Drosophila melanogaster: one gene and its partner. The protein of the gene in region 2 purifies or fractionates together with the protein of the main gene of each other region. This does not show direct contact. Each region holds a gene or a part of one and is shown on either strand. Other genes may lie near its edges.

The links.
Region 1: the proteins of Kr-h1 (region 2) and Lsp1beta purify together in Drosophila melanogaster (affinity purification with mass spectrometry, with the first as the bait; one large-scale study listed by BioGRID). This does not show direct contact.

What each region holds. Positions count from the first base shown.
Region 1 is NT_033779.5:896,645-902,940, forward strand, and holds Lsp1beta (larval serum protein 1 beta), read left to right. Parts: upstream 1-1,855; 5' UTR 1,856-2,087; coding exon 2,088-2,297; intron 2,298-2,365; coding exon 2,366-4,525; 3' UTR 4,526-4,672; downstream 4,673-6,296. UniProt on the Drosophila melanogaster protein: Larval storage protein (LSP) which may serve as a store of amino acids for synthesis of adult proteins.
Region 2 is NT_033779.5:6,088,642-6,098,379, forward strand, and holds Kr-h1 (kruppel homolog 1), read left to right. Parts: upstream 1-2,770; 5' UTR 2,771-2,927; coding exon of another isoform or gene 2,928-3,179; 5' UTR 3,180-3,458; coding exon 3,459-3,603; intron 3,604-4,353; coding exon 4,354-5,066; intron 5,067-5,151; coding exon 5,152-6,512; intron 6,513-6,596; coding exon 6,597-6,915; 3' UTR 6,916-7,857; downstream 7,858-9,738. Other genes in the region: CG45075 (uncharacterized protein), read left to right, coding at 2,928-3,179; CG9175 (uncharacterized protein), read right to left, coding at 8,527-8,612, 8,670-8,832, 8,903-9,738. UniProt on the Drosophila melanogaster protein: Plays a general role in the hierarchies of gene expression leading to metamorphosis.

The sequences.
Region 1 (6,296 bases), 5.2 Mb from region 2:
GTTCCAGTTCGGCCTCGTTCTTCAAGGGAAAACTTTTGGCTAATTTGCGTGCGGCAACTAAAACATTTTCCTGGTAGGCGGTTTCTGTGTGGCTCAGTTCGGTTAACGCTCCGTTCGCAACTAAATTTCCATTCAACTGTCATTTGCGAGGGAGCAAGCCCCCCCGACTGGATTTTAATTTCACTGTCATAAGCAAGCGATTAATGACTGACAAGTAATTAAATATGCGGCGATAAGGCGGCTGGGAAAACCCCATCTTCATCATCATCATCTTTGTCGAAAAAAGGCGGATGGAGCTATCTATCATCGGGTGGCTGTGATTGGGCCATAAAATTAAATAAACGGCTGACTAAATTCCACTATCAAATTGAATTCGGCAATTTGTCCCTGCACACTCTGCATCTCCGTTTACTATGCAAAGGATCTCGAATGGAGGGCAAACTGTTTATGTTGCCTGCTTGGCCCATAAAAAAGAGGCGGACTGCGGTTCTCCGCCGGAAATCTCATTTTGTTTGTAAATCAGCAATTTGCAGCCGGGCACAGGACGTTCTCGATGTCGTTGTCGCCCCACCAACACACTCGAAAAGTGGGAGCACCCACATTGGTACACTGCGCAAAAACCTCATACTTCCTCATTACTAACATACATGCATGAATGCAAAGTGCTTTCTATTTCCTGCTCTGTATATGGTTGATACATAGTTACATCAGTTACATCAGTTACATAGTTACACAGCATGACTAATTTTTCTCAGTGCACACACTCACATTTTTAAACGCTCAATAAGATTGGAAAATTGATGGCGGTATTGCTCATTGGTTTGGTAACGCTCTTCGCCCCGCTTTTCCGGGCACCCTTTTGCTTATCGCTCGGCAGGACTCGCCTGGCAGGAGCAGGCGACTCCACCCACTTGGTAAGTAAGTAAATCCCTCATTTTCAGTGGAAATAAAAATTGCCCCAGCAGCGTAACGCAAAATAAACACATTTAAGTTGCAAATTGAATTTTGCATAATCCCAGGCGCCGCAGCGATGCCACTTGGGCTGGGTTTCTGTCCTGGGCTTCTGTCCTGGATCTCCTTATCGCGGGTCCGTCTTCGTCCTGTGCTGTCTGTCGCTCCTTTTTATGTTTTTTTTTTTTTTTTGGTGGCACTGGCACACTTCACATCAGCGCATGAGACGGAATTTCTGATTAGTTGCCATGGATTCCCCTTCGGCGCCCAACACTTTGCACTTGTTTACCCTGCTTTGACTTTGCCGGAATTCTATTTATTTTCGAAAATTTCTTTTGGGACGCGACACTCTGCCCACATGAATGTCACACACGCAGCAGGCAGGACGCCTCCTTTTCCTAGGCGTGTGATCCTGGGGGATTTACAAAGTAGCCGCGTAATTGAATTTACTTTATACTTTGCCTGATTAGAAAAAGTTGATTGGATTTCACGCTGCCTCATATGGCGGCACAAAAGTTGACGCAGTTCCTCCTCTTCTGGTCCGCAGATGAATGTGTGTGGGCCAAGTCAATTAATGCACGTAGACTGTAGGGATTTCCATATCATATATGTATATACGTATCATATACATATTTCTAACTATCTACATTTTTGAGGACATGTCGCCAGTCTGATTTATCTTTTCTGGCGCAGAAGAAGCACCAATTCTAAAAATAAATTGGCACAAACAAAGATGCATTGAACGAAATTTGAGATAGCTGGTCACGGATTTGAATTTGGTTGACGTAATGCCGGCTTGATTGCACCTGCAGAGCTGGCTCTTGGCAACCAGATGAATAGAAGTCTGGCTTTGATAAGAGACAAGAGGGTAGCAAGGCGATAAGAGGTAGTCCGGCACAGATGGACAGATGGCGCGATCGCAGCACCTGAGATACACCCAGTGACCCCCAAGCTGCACCGCGATATCTCCGAGCAGATTCCGAGCTCCGGACACTGCGATCGTAGGCGGGACTCTTGGGTATAAAAGCAGCCAGGTGGACGGCAGTGAGGCAACAGTCTTTAGGCATTGGATCCACTGGGTGCATCTGATCCGGAGCAGTTGAGTGTCAAGTGTAGAGTTGCAGGAATCCGTCAACATGAAGATCGCCATCGCATTGCTGGCCTGCCTGGGCCTGGCCGCCGCTGCCAGCTTCCACCAGACCCACGAAGTCAAGATCGCCGACAAGGCCTTCCTGATGAAGCAGAAGTTCCTCTTCGAGATCGTCTACCGCGTGGAGGATCCGCTGATGTTCGAGGACCACATCAAGCAGGGCGAGAAATTCTACTTTGAGGAGTCCTACTACACTGTAAGTGGATATAGCACTGGCTGAAGTTGTGCCTCTCCCTAATCACTGATCATTGTGATCCCTTCCAGCACTACGACATGTACATGAAGAAGTTCTTCGAGGCCTACAAGGCTCACGCCCTGCTGCCCAAGGGCGAGTTCTTCGGCGCCCTGGTCATGTCCCACGCCAAGCAGGCCCGCGGTCTGTTCAACTTCTTCTACTACGCCAAGGACTGGGAGACCTTCGCCGCCAACGTGGCCTGGGCCCGCATGCACGTGAATGAGGGCATGTTCGTCTACGCCCTGACCATGGCCGTGATCCACCGCAACGACTTCCATGGACTGATGCTGCCCTCGATCTACGAGATCTTCCCACAGTTCTTCTTCAACAGCAAGTTTGTGTTCGAAGCGGAGAAGTTCGACTACGAGATGTGGATGAAGATGACGATGTACGAGAAGGAGTACATGGATGTGTACTACAAGACCAACGGATACGACTACTCAACCATGTACCGGTCCAGCGACTACACCTACATGAAGGACTTCAAGACCTGGCAGTGGTGGAAACTGATGGGTCTGGGCGAGCACTGGTACACCGAGGACAAGTTCATTCTGCGCGAGAACATCTACGAGTTCAACCAGGAGACCAAGTGGCTGTCGATGATGAAGGACGTGAAGAAGTTCTACATGCCCGTGGACTACACCCGCGACCTGAACCTCTACAACAAGGAGTCCAAGCTGTCCTACTTCACCGAGGATCTGGGCTGGAACGCCTACTGGTACTATCTGAACATGGACTACTCCTTCTTCCTGGACGGCAACACCTTCGATCTCAAGAACGACCGTCGCGGCGAGTGGTGGCTCTACAACGTGCACCAGCTGCTCAGCAGATACTACATGGAGCGCCTGTCGCACGGATTCGGCGAGATCCCCGAGTTCTCCTGGTACCAGCAGATCGAGATGGGCTACGACCCCCAGCTGATCTACTACAACGGCATTGGCTACAGCTTCCGCAAGAACTACTACGAGATGGAGACCTACGCCAACTACGATATGCTGGACAAGATCACCGGCTTCCTGAAGCGCATTCACAACATCGTCGAAATGGGCTACTACAAGACCGCCGATGGCCACACCATCGATCTGCGCAAACCCGAGGCCATCGAGTTCATTGGCAACATGCTGCAGGGCAACGTGGACGCCATGGACAAGATGTTCTACCAGTTCTGGTACATGCTCGCCCACATGTACTTCGCTGACGCCGACTATTACCAGATGGACGTGTACCCCAACGTGATGCTTAACTTCGAGACCATGATGCGCGACCCGATGTACTACATGTTCTACAAGTCCATCGCCCAGGTGTACTTCCAGTTCATGCACTACCTGCCCAAGTACACCAAGGAGCAGCTCCTGATGCCCGGCGTGACCATGAAGAACGTGGAGGTCAGCGACCTAACCACCTACTTCGACCTGGTCGATTTCGATGTGACCAACATGCTCAACGACAAGATGATCTTCCAGGACGGCAAGTTCGTGTGGGACATGTCGCTGTTCGCCCGCCAGATGCGCCTCAACCACAAGCCCTTCACCTACACCTACACCATCGAGTCCGAGAAGGTCGAGAAGGTGGTCATCCGCGCCTTCCTGGGACCCAAGTTCGACGAGTTCGGCAAAGTCATTTCCCTGGCCGAGAACCGCATGAACTTCATGGAGATCGACGAGTTCTACTACGAGCTGAAGGCCGGCACCAACAAGATCACTCGCAAGTCCAGCGAGTTCTACTGGACCGTCAAGGACCGCACCACCTACACCGAGCTCTACTACTACACGATGATGGCCTTCGACGGCAAGTACGACTTCCCCCTGGACATCAGCGAGCCCCACTGCGGATTCCCCGACCGCCTCGTCCTGCCCATGGGCTGGCAGAAGGGCATGCCCATGCAGATGTTCTTCATGGTGGTGCCGTACGTGGCCCCCGCCCACGAGCAGTTCTCCACCTTCGACTACACCTACTCCTGTGGTATCGGATCCGGAGCGCGCTACGTGGACAGCCTGCCCTTCGGCTATCCCTTCGACCGTGCGATCGACGAGTACGAGTTCTTCGTGCCCAACATGTACTTCAAGGACGTGTCCATCTACCACGCCGACACCATGGAGCCCTACTACAAGTACAAGAGCTACTCCAACTACGGCCACTTCGACTACACCTTCTTCAACGATTACTACACCAAGTACTTCAAGTTCTGAGCGTCGTCGTTGTGTGTGCGGCTTCGATTGCGAAATCCGGAAAACGATCACGGAACGATCTACTGAATGAGCGCGGATGTTTTTAGAGTGTCTGATACCTAGCTAGTAAGGTGTGCAAAAAGTCTAATAAACTTTCGAAAACCAAGTAAAAGTGGCCCTGTTTTCAATATATCTAAAGAGGACCCCACAATTTGAAAAGGAAGGAACGTTCCTCATCGGTAGAAATATACTTTCGGGGGTCATTTATTCATTCTATCAATGTAGTTGCAAGGCAGGCTACATATATGAAAATAATGATACTTTTAAAATTTATTGCAGATGTCGGGACGGCGCGAACGCCATTCCCGGCTACCAAAAATTACACGCACGAGTTATTCACATTAGGAATAATCGCAGAGGTCAACTCAGCCGAGGTGCAATGGCCAAGCCTCACTCCGGAGGAACCGCCTTCGTGATCACGGTTAACCTCTACGCCAGGTAAGTATGCTTTCCTCAGCTCAGGGAATGGGTTTCCATGAGCTGATGGCCAGAAGCAGTTGGGAATTATTGCAGTGAAAGTGCGTGAAAGTCTTACCCCCGAAAGTATGTTAGCAAAATGTTACATCTGCAGTTGGGTTGATTTTTGTAAACTGTGCGTTGATATTGTGGTTCTTATCTGCTTCCACCCTTATACATATTATATGTAACCTTTGGATTTTACTGTTTCATTTAAATGATTATATTAACGAGCGAATAATGATAAGAATAATTTTAATTAAAACTAAACAATCTGAGAGGCCCACAATAGTTTTACAAGCCACGAAAATATCAGCAATAAAATGGTGAAAAATCGCCGGAATATGGTTAACCTGACAACGAAACAGAGCATCTTCTATACGGAATATTTATGGGGTAGTAATAAATGATTTTGCAGAATTCCATAGGCCGCAAAAAACTAATAATCGAAATAGTTTCGGTAACTCGATAGAAAGTTCGATGGTGTGAATGGATCAGCGGGAGACTGGGGCGCCGAAAGTGATTTAATTTATGGCAATTACAAATTGTTATTAGAAATTTGCGGTCAACGAGGGCGCACACGACCGCAGGTGAATTTGAAATCAAATGGGAAAATGCGAAATGAACCAGGCTGAAATAGCAAAAAAGCAGGAGAGCAAAAATTATTGTTGACATAAGCCGCATATTCTGTGCGATGTGCGTGAATTGTTTGCTGTGTGTTTGTTTGTTTGTTTGTTTGCGGGCCACTCGTGTCCTTTTGCATTATTCCAGCACATATTGTGATGCACTGAAGGACTCGCTGCAAATGCATAATTAAACTAGCAAACACGGCCATCAATTTAACCCCAGTGCTTCACTGCTTCTCTGTCGCTCTGTTTTTGATGAGCACTTGACAAAACGCTAATGAAAGTGCCGGAGGGGGAGTGTTTGTGTTTTCGCGGCATTTTAATTAATAAATGTCCATCCAGTTTGGCCGGGTAACCTGGCCAACCGACCGCCATTGAGCGACCGACCAACTTTGCCACATTAGCTGCAATTCAACTTTATCAATAGGCTTCTAATTAACTGGCACACACACACACACACAGCTCGTCCTGAAGGACCCTTCTGCCCACAACACTTTTGCGTTGAGTTTGCTGATCTAGTTTTCGGGTTTCATGTTTAATCAGTTCAAACGCAATTCCGCAGTGAAACTATCTAATCCTCTTTCCACTCCTCAGTCACGTATTCCGAGAACATCTACCACGGAAACACAGTCATGGGTGAGGAAGTAGTA
Region 2 (9,738 bases):
GTTTGCGGTGACTGTTGCAGTGGCAGCAACAACAAAAACAACAACGCCCAGTGGGTGGGCGGGGTGTTGGTTGGATGGGCCAAACGAAAGGGAAGGTTTCCTGGCTGCGCCATTTCTTAATTCTGTATTTCTGAATTGTATGTACATCAGTACATATGAATGCTTGTACGTGCATATTGAGATATGTATACAGATGTTGAAAAAGTGAAAACACGTCATTGGACTATGGGGAATTTGATCTTATTTGTTAGCAAAAATGTGTTATTAAAAACGTTGAAAATTTGAAAATTTGTTTCTTAACGGATTTTAAAATGTTTACGAGATATTTATTTGCGACAACAAATTCGAATTCCCTATAGTGCATTGTGCTTCTGAATTTATGTACACACATATGAATGTATTCGTATTGTAGAATATAATTCTGGTATTCAATTTCGCCAACTAGCGCAAGCTGACTTGGGAATATTACGCCACATTTTCCAGCTTAGCGATTATGAAGCTCCCCCCGACACCATTCTTTGTACATCAACCCTTGCGACTATAGTATGCGTTCTCGCTCATCGTAACTGTAATACTCGCTGCCTGCCTGAGTGCGTGTCTTTGCTTTTTGACCTAGGCCAACCCAACCACTTCGCCCACGCAATTTGTGCGTGGCAGCGGCGACGCACACTGCGGCAGAGGCGTCGACAGAGCGGCGGCAGAGCAGCAGCTGCGCAGCCTAAGCTCAGACTTCGTGTCTAGACCTTCGCTATATAAATACAACACCAAAGTAGAATGCTAAAATTTCTAAATCTGGCATATTTCGTTCAGTCGTTCGTACAGCTCTCGTTCTCTCATGTTTCATATGCAAAGATTCTATAGTAAACTGACTTTGTTTTCAAAAATATATAACAAGTACACGTTTTCAAAAAAGAATATCTATATATTTTAAAACATTTAGTATGTTCATAATTTGAGCCTTAATAGTCGAAGGTTAATAATTGTGCTTTAGACTGGAATTTTCAATCCTTCCGGCCATATTCCCCACCATGGAATTTCCAGTCACTCCAATTTCATTCGCTTAATTTCAATATCTTATCGCTGTTGATAGTTCTCGTTTGATAAGTCTGCCTAGAGCCCTAACTTTAGCGTACAATTTCATTGAGGGACATCCTATGAATTGAAAAACGGCGAACGTGTCGTGTTATATTGCCTTATCTTATCGGGGCTCATCGAACCTTAGCTAGAATATGTATGTGAAATGTTAACGCGATCCTCCGGTTGGAATAGATACTCTCGACGGGAGCAGAAGTAATTTTATAAAAAAATCCGATTCGAGGGGGGAAGCGAAGTGAAAAGCTTACAATTTGCTTATATTTAAGTGTTCAATGACCCCATCAAAAGTCCACAAAGAAGACACCAAAAAGCAACACCGAATCCAAACCAACTCAATTTATGTATCTGTATCTCTGCGTATGTATCTCCACGTGTAAAATAGCTATGCATGTGTAAATAGGGTGTATTTTTGGAAGTGAACCGAAGTGAATTTAATTATAATTTTAATATAAATACTTCTTTTAGTTTAGTTTAGTTTCGTTTGAGCGTTTCACGTTCAATCTGGTATCTGTTTGTATCTAGCTTTCATACTGACCGCCAAGCAACTTTACTGATCTATCCAAACACGGCGATCACTTCCATTAAAGACCAGTTTTAAGTCGCTTTATTTCAGAGCTATCCCAACAAAATAACGGCACTTTAACTTTTCCGAACCGCAGCTGAATCCCCTCCCCTCGTTTTTCCCATTCTAGCTGCCCCCCGTTTTGGGAAGCAACTCATAAGAGATAATTGTGTCTTTCCCCCTCAAAAAATATTGTGTCGTTCATACCTTCAGAAACTTTTTGGTCGGGCAACCCAAAAGAGCACGAGCGCACGAATCGGGGGATCGGGGGATCGGTGATCATTCTCTGCCCTCCAACAACACCGCACTCACTCAAAAATAGTTTTTGTGTCGAATGTTAATGAACTTTTGCGCTAGTTTAACGCACAGCCAGCCGAATAAACATTCAGACACAATAACAACGAAAGCCGATAAAGTTTTTTGAACCTGCCTTCACCGAAACTTTTGTATTTCAACATTTGCTTCTCGTGCTCATTCTGTTTTTTGGGAGGGTTTCTTATAAATGTTCGCTTGTTGAAGGTGGAAACTGGTCGTTGGCTTTCTATAGATGGACTGCTCAAAATATATCCCTGAGATTTTGTAGCCTCTAAACGTATAGTTGCCGCAATTGTTAGTTAATTGGTATGCTAAGTGTGGCAAGCAAGTTGGACTTTGGTACTTTAAAGAATAATAACTATAAGACTGCGATAAGAACTATCAGAACTTATTGCCTAATTCGTTGCATTTATGACTCAAATGCTAGAATCTTATCAATGAAAACCCAACTAATTACATCACTTAAATGAAATCACTTCAGAGTTCAAAGTTTATTCAATGCTTGTATATGTACATATTTTCAATTAGTCTGAAATAATAAACGTCGCAGATAACTTAGATACCAATGAAATTTCCCTGAGCTCGGGGAAATTTTGGTGCTCCATAAAAGAGAATGTCATCGGAAAAGTCCGAAACCACTCAAACTCAAAAAAAAAAGAAACACTCGAAAATTTCCCTTGTCATCGCACTCAAACATTTTCCAATTGAGGGAAATTTCAGATCCAATGGGACCATTCTTGTTGGTGGTGGTTGATTTTTCCGTGACAGGGTTTGAGGCAGATTTTTCGGGAACTCACCCACCAGTCTCCGTTACACCATCGAACCGAAAACCTCGGGAGCGGCGATGTGAACATAATCTGAATCCCATTCTACTCCGTTAAGTGTTGTTTGTACGGGTGTTGTGCGTGTGCGTGTGCTTGTGTGTGTGTGTGTGTGTGTGGTCCACACCTCGAAAATGACCGACTTTTCAATGAACGATATTTTGAGATCATTCAGAAAAATGCGTATGAACAAGGGCTCGGGCCAGGGCGGTCAGCACCACCAATACCGCAATCATCAGCACCAACAGCAGCCTCCGCAAAATATGCAACACTACCAACACACCTATCCCGTGCAACAGTCGAAGGACTTGAAGAAAATCATCAAAATCATCAAGAAGAACCTGATCAAGGAGAAAATCACGCGTCAAATGAAAATCCTTGTCTAAAAATGTCATGAGACGAGCTAAATGAATGAATAAATCTTAAGACTGCTGATATACAAATCGAGGGACTGATACTGAAAAACTGACACGAGTTCAGCGCTAAAGTCTGATTTTGTAAACTCAAATCAATGAATAAATTTACAAGTATACACATTGAATAAGAAAAGATCTCTTCAAACTTATAAACTATATTATAAATTAGACTTGCTTACAATTGAATGATTTGACTTGAACAATCAAAAAGTATTATTAGGAGGAAAACCTGTATGGAGCAGTAGCAAGATGACTGAAAGCAAGAATGATACAAAATCTTGGGCACCCAAACAAATTTGGATTAAGGATGTTCTCAAGAAATCGGGCACGGAACTGCTCGATATATCCAAGAGTCCCGCAAAGGCTGTTGCCGTCAAAAAATCGCCGGCGAAAGGTAATTGAGATGCTTTTCCTAAAAATTCAGACCGAAAAAGTTCCCTCACGACGCCATTTTGTTTTGGTATACGCAATTTTTGTTTTGGGGGAAGTTGTGGGGTTCGTTCATACTATCATAACAAAAAAAAAAAAAAATACAACAGCGCGACTGATACAGAAAGTGCGAGCGAGCAGGATGGCAACGGGAAATGCCGGTTGGAAACCGTACGATTCGTAATGCTATCTCCCAAATATCCCAAGTGGGACATTTTCGAGGCAGGGTTCTCAATGAAATTTTTCCCATTTCCTCTGGCTCTCACTCTCCTGCGCCTTCGCTTTTCCTCCCCCCATAAGCTCTCGCTAGGTTTTCCTTATTTTGGAAAACCCCGGCCGGCAATAACAGAAAGTGCGTAGCACAAATTCACGGGGTGGGTTTTCCCCTTTACGCCCTTTTTTCCTTTGGCTCTTACGAGACTTTTCCTAACCACCCGTATTGCACTTTCTATCTGCTTCCGTGTTTTTCCTGAGACGCAGATTGTGAATTGATGGGGGGCAAAGGAGTTAGACCTTATACTATGGTTAAGCTGGCTTTGTAGAACCACAAAAACCAAACAATAGGTTGCTAATATAACTAATAAGCAGTATCTAATTTATAATTTCTTGTATTATTACTTAAGTCTATTTAGAACCAACTATTTTGGTCAGGTATCAAACTAGTTAACTATGGTCAAAAATCTAATGCGGCTCCTTCTTTTTCGCCCTCTTCCAGATTCAGCCACAACCAAAATGGTTTACTATTCCGCCAACCAGCTGCTTATAAAAACGGAACAATCTAGTCAGGCGCAGTTCTGCCTCCAGGTTCCGCCTCCACTAACAGCGACGACCACGAGCGTGGGCCTAGGAGTTCCGCCATCCGGCGGCCAACAGGAGCACTTCGAGCTGCTGCAGACGCCGCAGCAGCGACAAATGCAACTGCAGCTACAGGACCAGCACCAGCAGGAGCAGCAGCAGTTTGTCAGCTACCAACTGGCCATCCAGCAGCATCAGAAGCAGCAACAACAGCAGCAACATGAAAGTATTACGAACGCAGCACCCACAGCAGCTCCATCAGCCCAGCGGATCAAGACAGAGCCCGTCGGCGGATTCCCAGCGTCGGCAGCCGTGGTGTCGCAGGTGCGCAAGCCCAGCGCCAGCAAACCGCAATTCAAGTGCGACCAGTGTGGCATGACCTTTGGCAGCAAGTCCGCCCACACCTCACACACCAAGTCGCACTCGAAGAACCAAGATCTGTCGCTTAATGGCGCCTCTGGAGCCGGCGTTGCTGCGCCCGTCTCAACCGCGGCCATCGAGCTCAATGATGCCGGTCTGCCGGTGGGCATTCCCAAGAGCCCCACCATCAAGCCGCTGGCCAACGTGGCCGCCGGAGCAGATCCCTATCAGTGCAATGTTTGCCAGAAAACATTCGCCGTACCCGCCAGGCTGGTAAGTGTCACGAAAACAGAGATTTGAAATATTTGGACCACCATATCAGTGATATTAATAAGTAATATATCTCCTTCGCTTTTAGATCCGCCACTACCGCACCCACACTGGTGAACGGCCATTCGAGTGCGAGTTCTGCCACAAGCTGTTCAGCGTGAAGGAGAACCTCCAGGTGCACCGGCGCATCCACACGAAGGAGCGTCCGTACAAGTGTGACGTCTGTGGACGGGCATTCGAACACTCCGGGAAGCTGCACCGCCACATGCGCATTCACACCGGCGAGCGGCCACACAAGTGCTCCGTGTGCGAGAAGACATTCATCCAGTCCGGCCAGCTGGTGATCCATATGCGCACGCACACCGGCGAGAAGCCGTACAAGTGCCCGGAGCCGGGATGCGGCAAAGGTTTCACCTGCTCCAAGCAGCTCAAGGTGCACTCGCGAACGCACACGGGCGAGAAGCCCTACCACTGTGACATCTGCTTCCGGGACTTTGGCTACAATCATGTGCTGAAACTGCATCGCGTCCAGCACTACGGCTCCAAGTGCTACAAGTGCACCATCTGCGACGAGACGTTCAAGAACAAGAAGGAGATGGAGGCCCACATCAAGGGCCATGCCAACGAAGTACCCGACGACGAAGCGGAGGCGGCGGCTGCGTCGGCAGCAGCATCAACGTCCGCAGGCTCCTCCGCCGGATCGCCGTCCTTGCAAGGAGTCAGCAGCAACTCCGAGAGCAGCAACCACTCGCCGCCCAGCTCGCCACCGGCCACAAAGAAACCTCGCCAGGCTCGCCAGCCGCGCGTTTCCAAAACCGTTGCAGCCACCCTTTCCATCCCTACCTCCTCGCCGCTCTCGCCCAGCTCACTCAGCTCCACATACTCGCCATCGGCCAGCAGCATGGCCTCGCCACCACCCACATCGGCCCACTACCTGCCCGTCCAGATGGAGGCGGATGCCTTGAGCCGGGACAGCGGCGTGTCCAGCGCCCAGCCCGCCCACAGCACCTATGCAGACGAGGAGCCCACAGATTTGAGCATGCAACAGGTCCAGGGTCAGCTGCCAGAAAGCACTGTGGACTACTACCAGGCACCGCCAAGTCTACTCGAACTGCAGCCACAACCCGCTGGTCTAACCATCAATCCTGCCCTGCTTGAAGCGGCCAGCATTGCGCGTCGCCATGACGACAACGATGACCAGGTGCAGGATGAGGATGTGCACGCAGCCGCCTGGCAAATGATGCAGTTGTGCCGCGGCCACGGCTCCTTACCCCCAACGGAGCAGCCGGCGCCAAGCCACCAGCCACAGGTGCCCACTCTGCACGTCAGCGATCTAGCGGCTAACTACGATGACACCCATGAAGCCACCGTGCTGATCGAGCACTTCAAGCGTGGTGATCTCGCTCGCCACGGGCTGCACAAGGGCTATGCACCAGTGCCCAAATATGAGTGAGTATTTTGGTCCCCCAAGCCGGATGCTTGTGTTTTTGTCTAAGAGTATAACTAAATCGAATTGCTTACTATTCCCATCAGATCCGCTCTACCCAATCCGGACGTTGTGCGACGCGTGGAGGCGGCCATCGGCCTGCGTTCCAGCACGGAGTCGCCGGAACGTAGCTCCTCGCCGGAGAGCGACTCCCTGATGATGGCCGACCGGAACGTGATGACGCTGCCGTTGCGCAAGCGCAAGCACTACATGAACAAGGGCGACGACGGTCAGGTGGATTCGGAGAAGGCTAGCGGAGATGGCACCTCCGCCGCCGGTGGTGCCGCTTCCGTTGGCGCCGGGGATGGACCCGGGTCCAAGGTGATGCGAATGAGCTCGGTCATTCAGTTCGCCAAGGCCTCCTAGGGGTCCAAGGCCGATCCCCAATCAGCATTAAGACTGTCCAAACAAATTCTAACTGAAATTAGCCTAAGTTTTTTCTCTGAGGTTCGGGGTTAGGCCTGGAAAAAGAAAGCATAGAAACGTATGGATATGGCAGTGAGATAGTTTTCCAGCAGCGAAAATGAAAATGCCAAAAGTATTAAAAAAGGGAAAAATTTGTTTTAAAATTAATATTACCTCCTATTACGTTTTATTGGCTTGATCCGAGTTTTGTTGAATGTTTGATTTGAAAATAGTTTCACCCATATTGCAAAATTTCATTTTAGTTTGGCATATACAATGTAGGTATAGTTTGTTTTCCTGTGTTGTCCACTTAGTCAAATTGCAGCAATTGGCATTATGCGTATTAAGCATTAGCATATAACTAAGTTAATTATATATAAAAGATCACTTAACGACGCCCAAACCCAAACCCAAACCCAAATCCAAACCGTACACAATAATAAGTTACGCGCATAACTACATATATACACATATTAATGAGAACGAAAAACCATGGCCATATTGGCGCTTAATATTTATAAAATACATATAATACTTATTTATTATGAACTCTGCTCGCCAAACTTCTTCCTTCCCCTCCACGATTAGTGTCAACGGCATCTTTGACATCATGTACCCATCATTTTATATGCATTTTATACACTAAATAAGGGAAAACTGAGGAAAAAGGATCGGTAACTTTAATTTTACACACGGAGAATATTGAACTGATAAACAAGAAGAAAGCAAGCATAACTACGTTTATATACATTTTCAAACCAGAAGATAACAAATATAATTAAGAGCGTCAGCATAGTTTTTGTAAACGCAGAGTTAATACATAGATTTAAATTCTAAAATCAAATATTGCATGAAAAAACGCAAATGAAATCTGAAAATCAATAAACAAGCGTGAAATAAACCAATTCGGTGTATGTGTATTTTAATGGGGCGTTTTAATTTAAAAAACTTACCCATTTCGCTTGAGAAATCGCAGATGAAGTAACTCGATCCAATTCGGTGATGAAAATGTAGATGCACCAATGTTGGAGGTTAATAACCCTCGTTGGAATATTTTACCATGTTTGCCACCTCATTGAATGCGAATAAAACATCGAAATTTCATTACTGAATGCATTTTTATATATCATTCACTTGTGACTATACGAATGGTGTGCTAAACCCACCACAGTTCGATTAGCTAACATTTTGATTATAAAAATGGTTTTACAATTCATTTGACTGCTTCAACTAGACGCAGTCAGTTTTCCTGTCTGCCTTTGTATAAATGAAATATTAATTAAATTTTAAAAATCATGTACAACGGGCAAAGCTGCCAAACGAGCAAGGCTTCGTTTGCGGTGGCTAGAGAGATAAACAAATTATGATACAACTAAGCAAACATTGCAATTAGTATAAGAGATAAGGCAGCCGGCACAAACTATGCACTTAAACTAATTAACATGATGGAGGAGGGGTGGGACGACGCTGGGAGTGCTGGGGGGGGGAGGAGTTGTGGCTTATTGCAGAAAACTAAACCCTGTTTACAAACTAATAATGCAAATCGAATAACTCTCTTCTGGCCATTGAGCATCAGATGCCAATGTAGGAGCACAGCACGAACACGGCGAAAATCATGACAATCAGAAAGACGATGGCAATCCAGGCGGGGATTGTACCTAAAAAGAAGTTGGCAGTGAGATAATTTCCAATTTTACACCAATTTTATTGCTTACGTCTTTGGGACAGACTGTGGATGCAGACTTTGTTGTCCACCGAAATGGACAGAACGGCTGCCTCCGTGTCGCTGGAAATGGGCGGTCCCTCCTCGTTGGTAATAGGCAGGAACTGGAGGCCAGTTACGAACATGGAGTGTGCATGGGGAATGTGGAGCACGCGCTGCAAAACGTAAGCAAAGAATTGGAGTTAAGACTATTAACGTACACTTTGATTAGTTGCCTCTGCTCACCTGCAGACTGAATGCAATGTACATGGATACGCTGCCTGAGAACATCGTGCCGACGGCCACGAATCGACCATCATCCCGCACTGCCAGTGACGAGAGGCTTTCGTCAATGGCCACAGCCTGACGCAGTTGCCCGCTGGCACAGTCCCAGTGCTGCAGGAAGCCACGCTGCTTTCCCACCTTGCCCAGCGGATTGGCAATGGTAAAGAGGCGGTAGTTATCCTTTTGCGCCTCCACGGTTCCGTAGCGGCACCGTTTGAACAGGTACTTGGCCCCCTCGGGCGTTTTCCACTGCAGCTTGTGTTGCAGCTGGCCGCTGGCCAGGTCCCACACCAAGCCCTGTGCATCCTTGGAGATGCTGGCAATTAGCTTGCTGTCGGGACTGAAGTCCAGGTCATCGATCTCCTTGCTGTGTGCCGCCAGCTCGGCGGCCAGCGTCATCTGGGGGAACGTCCAGACGCGCAGTTTTCCGTCCGTGCCGCCAGTGGCCATCAGACGGCCATTACCGCTGATGCGCACCACGCGCTGCAGGGGCTCGGCGCCCTTGAGGAAGTCCGTCTGGATCACATCCGCCGCCTGGATGTCGAAATGCAGTCGCCGAAACTGACGCAATATGTCGGCGGTGGAAAGGGGTGGCCTGTGCCCGTTGGCCACTGGCTCCACGCCCGAGTGTGCGTTTCGCTGGCGCACGTTGCCGTTCTCGTGCGGCCGTTCCTCCGGAGCAGGCTTGCCGTCCCCGACGCCCACACCGTTTCCATTCCCATCCTCTTCGGATTGAACGCGCGGCTGGACGTAGTACATCTGACAGTGCGCCTCCTGGCCGGCGCACAGATAGCCCC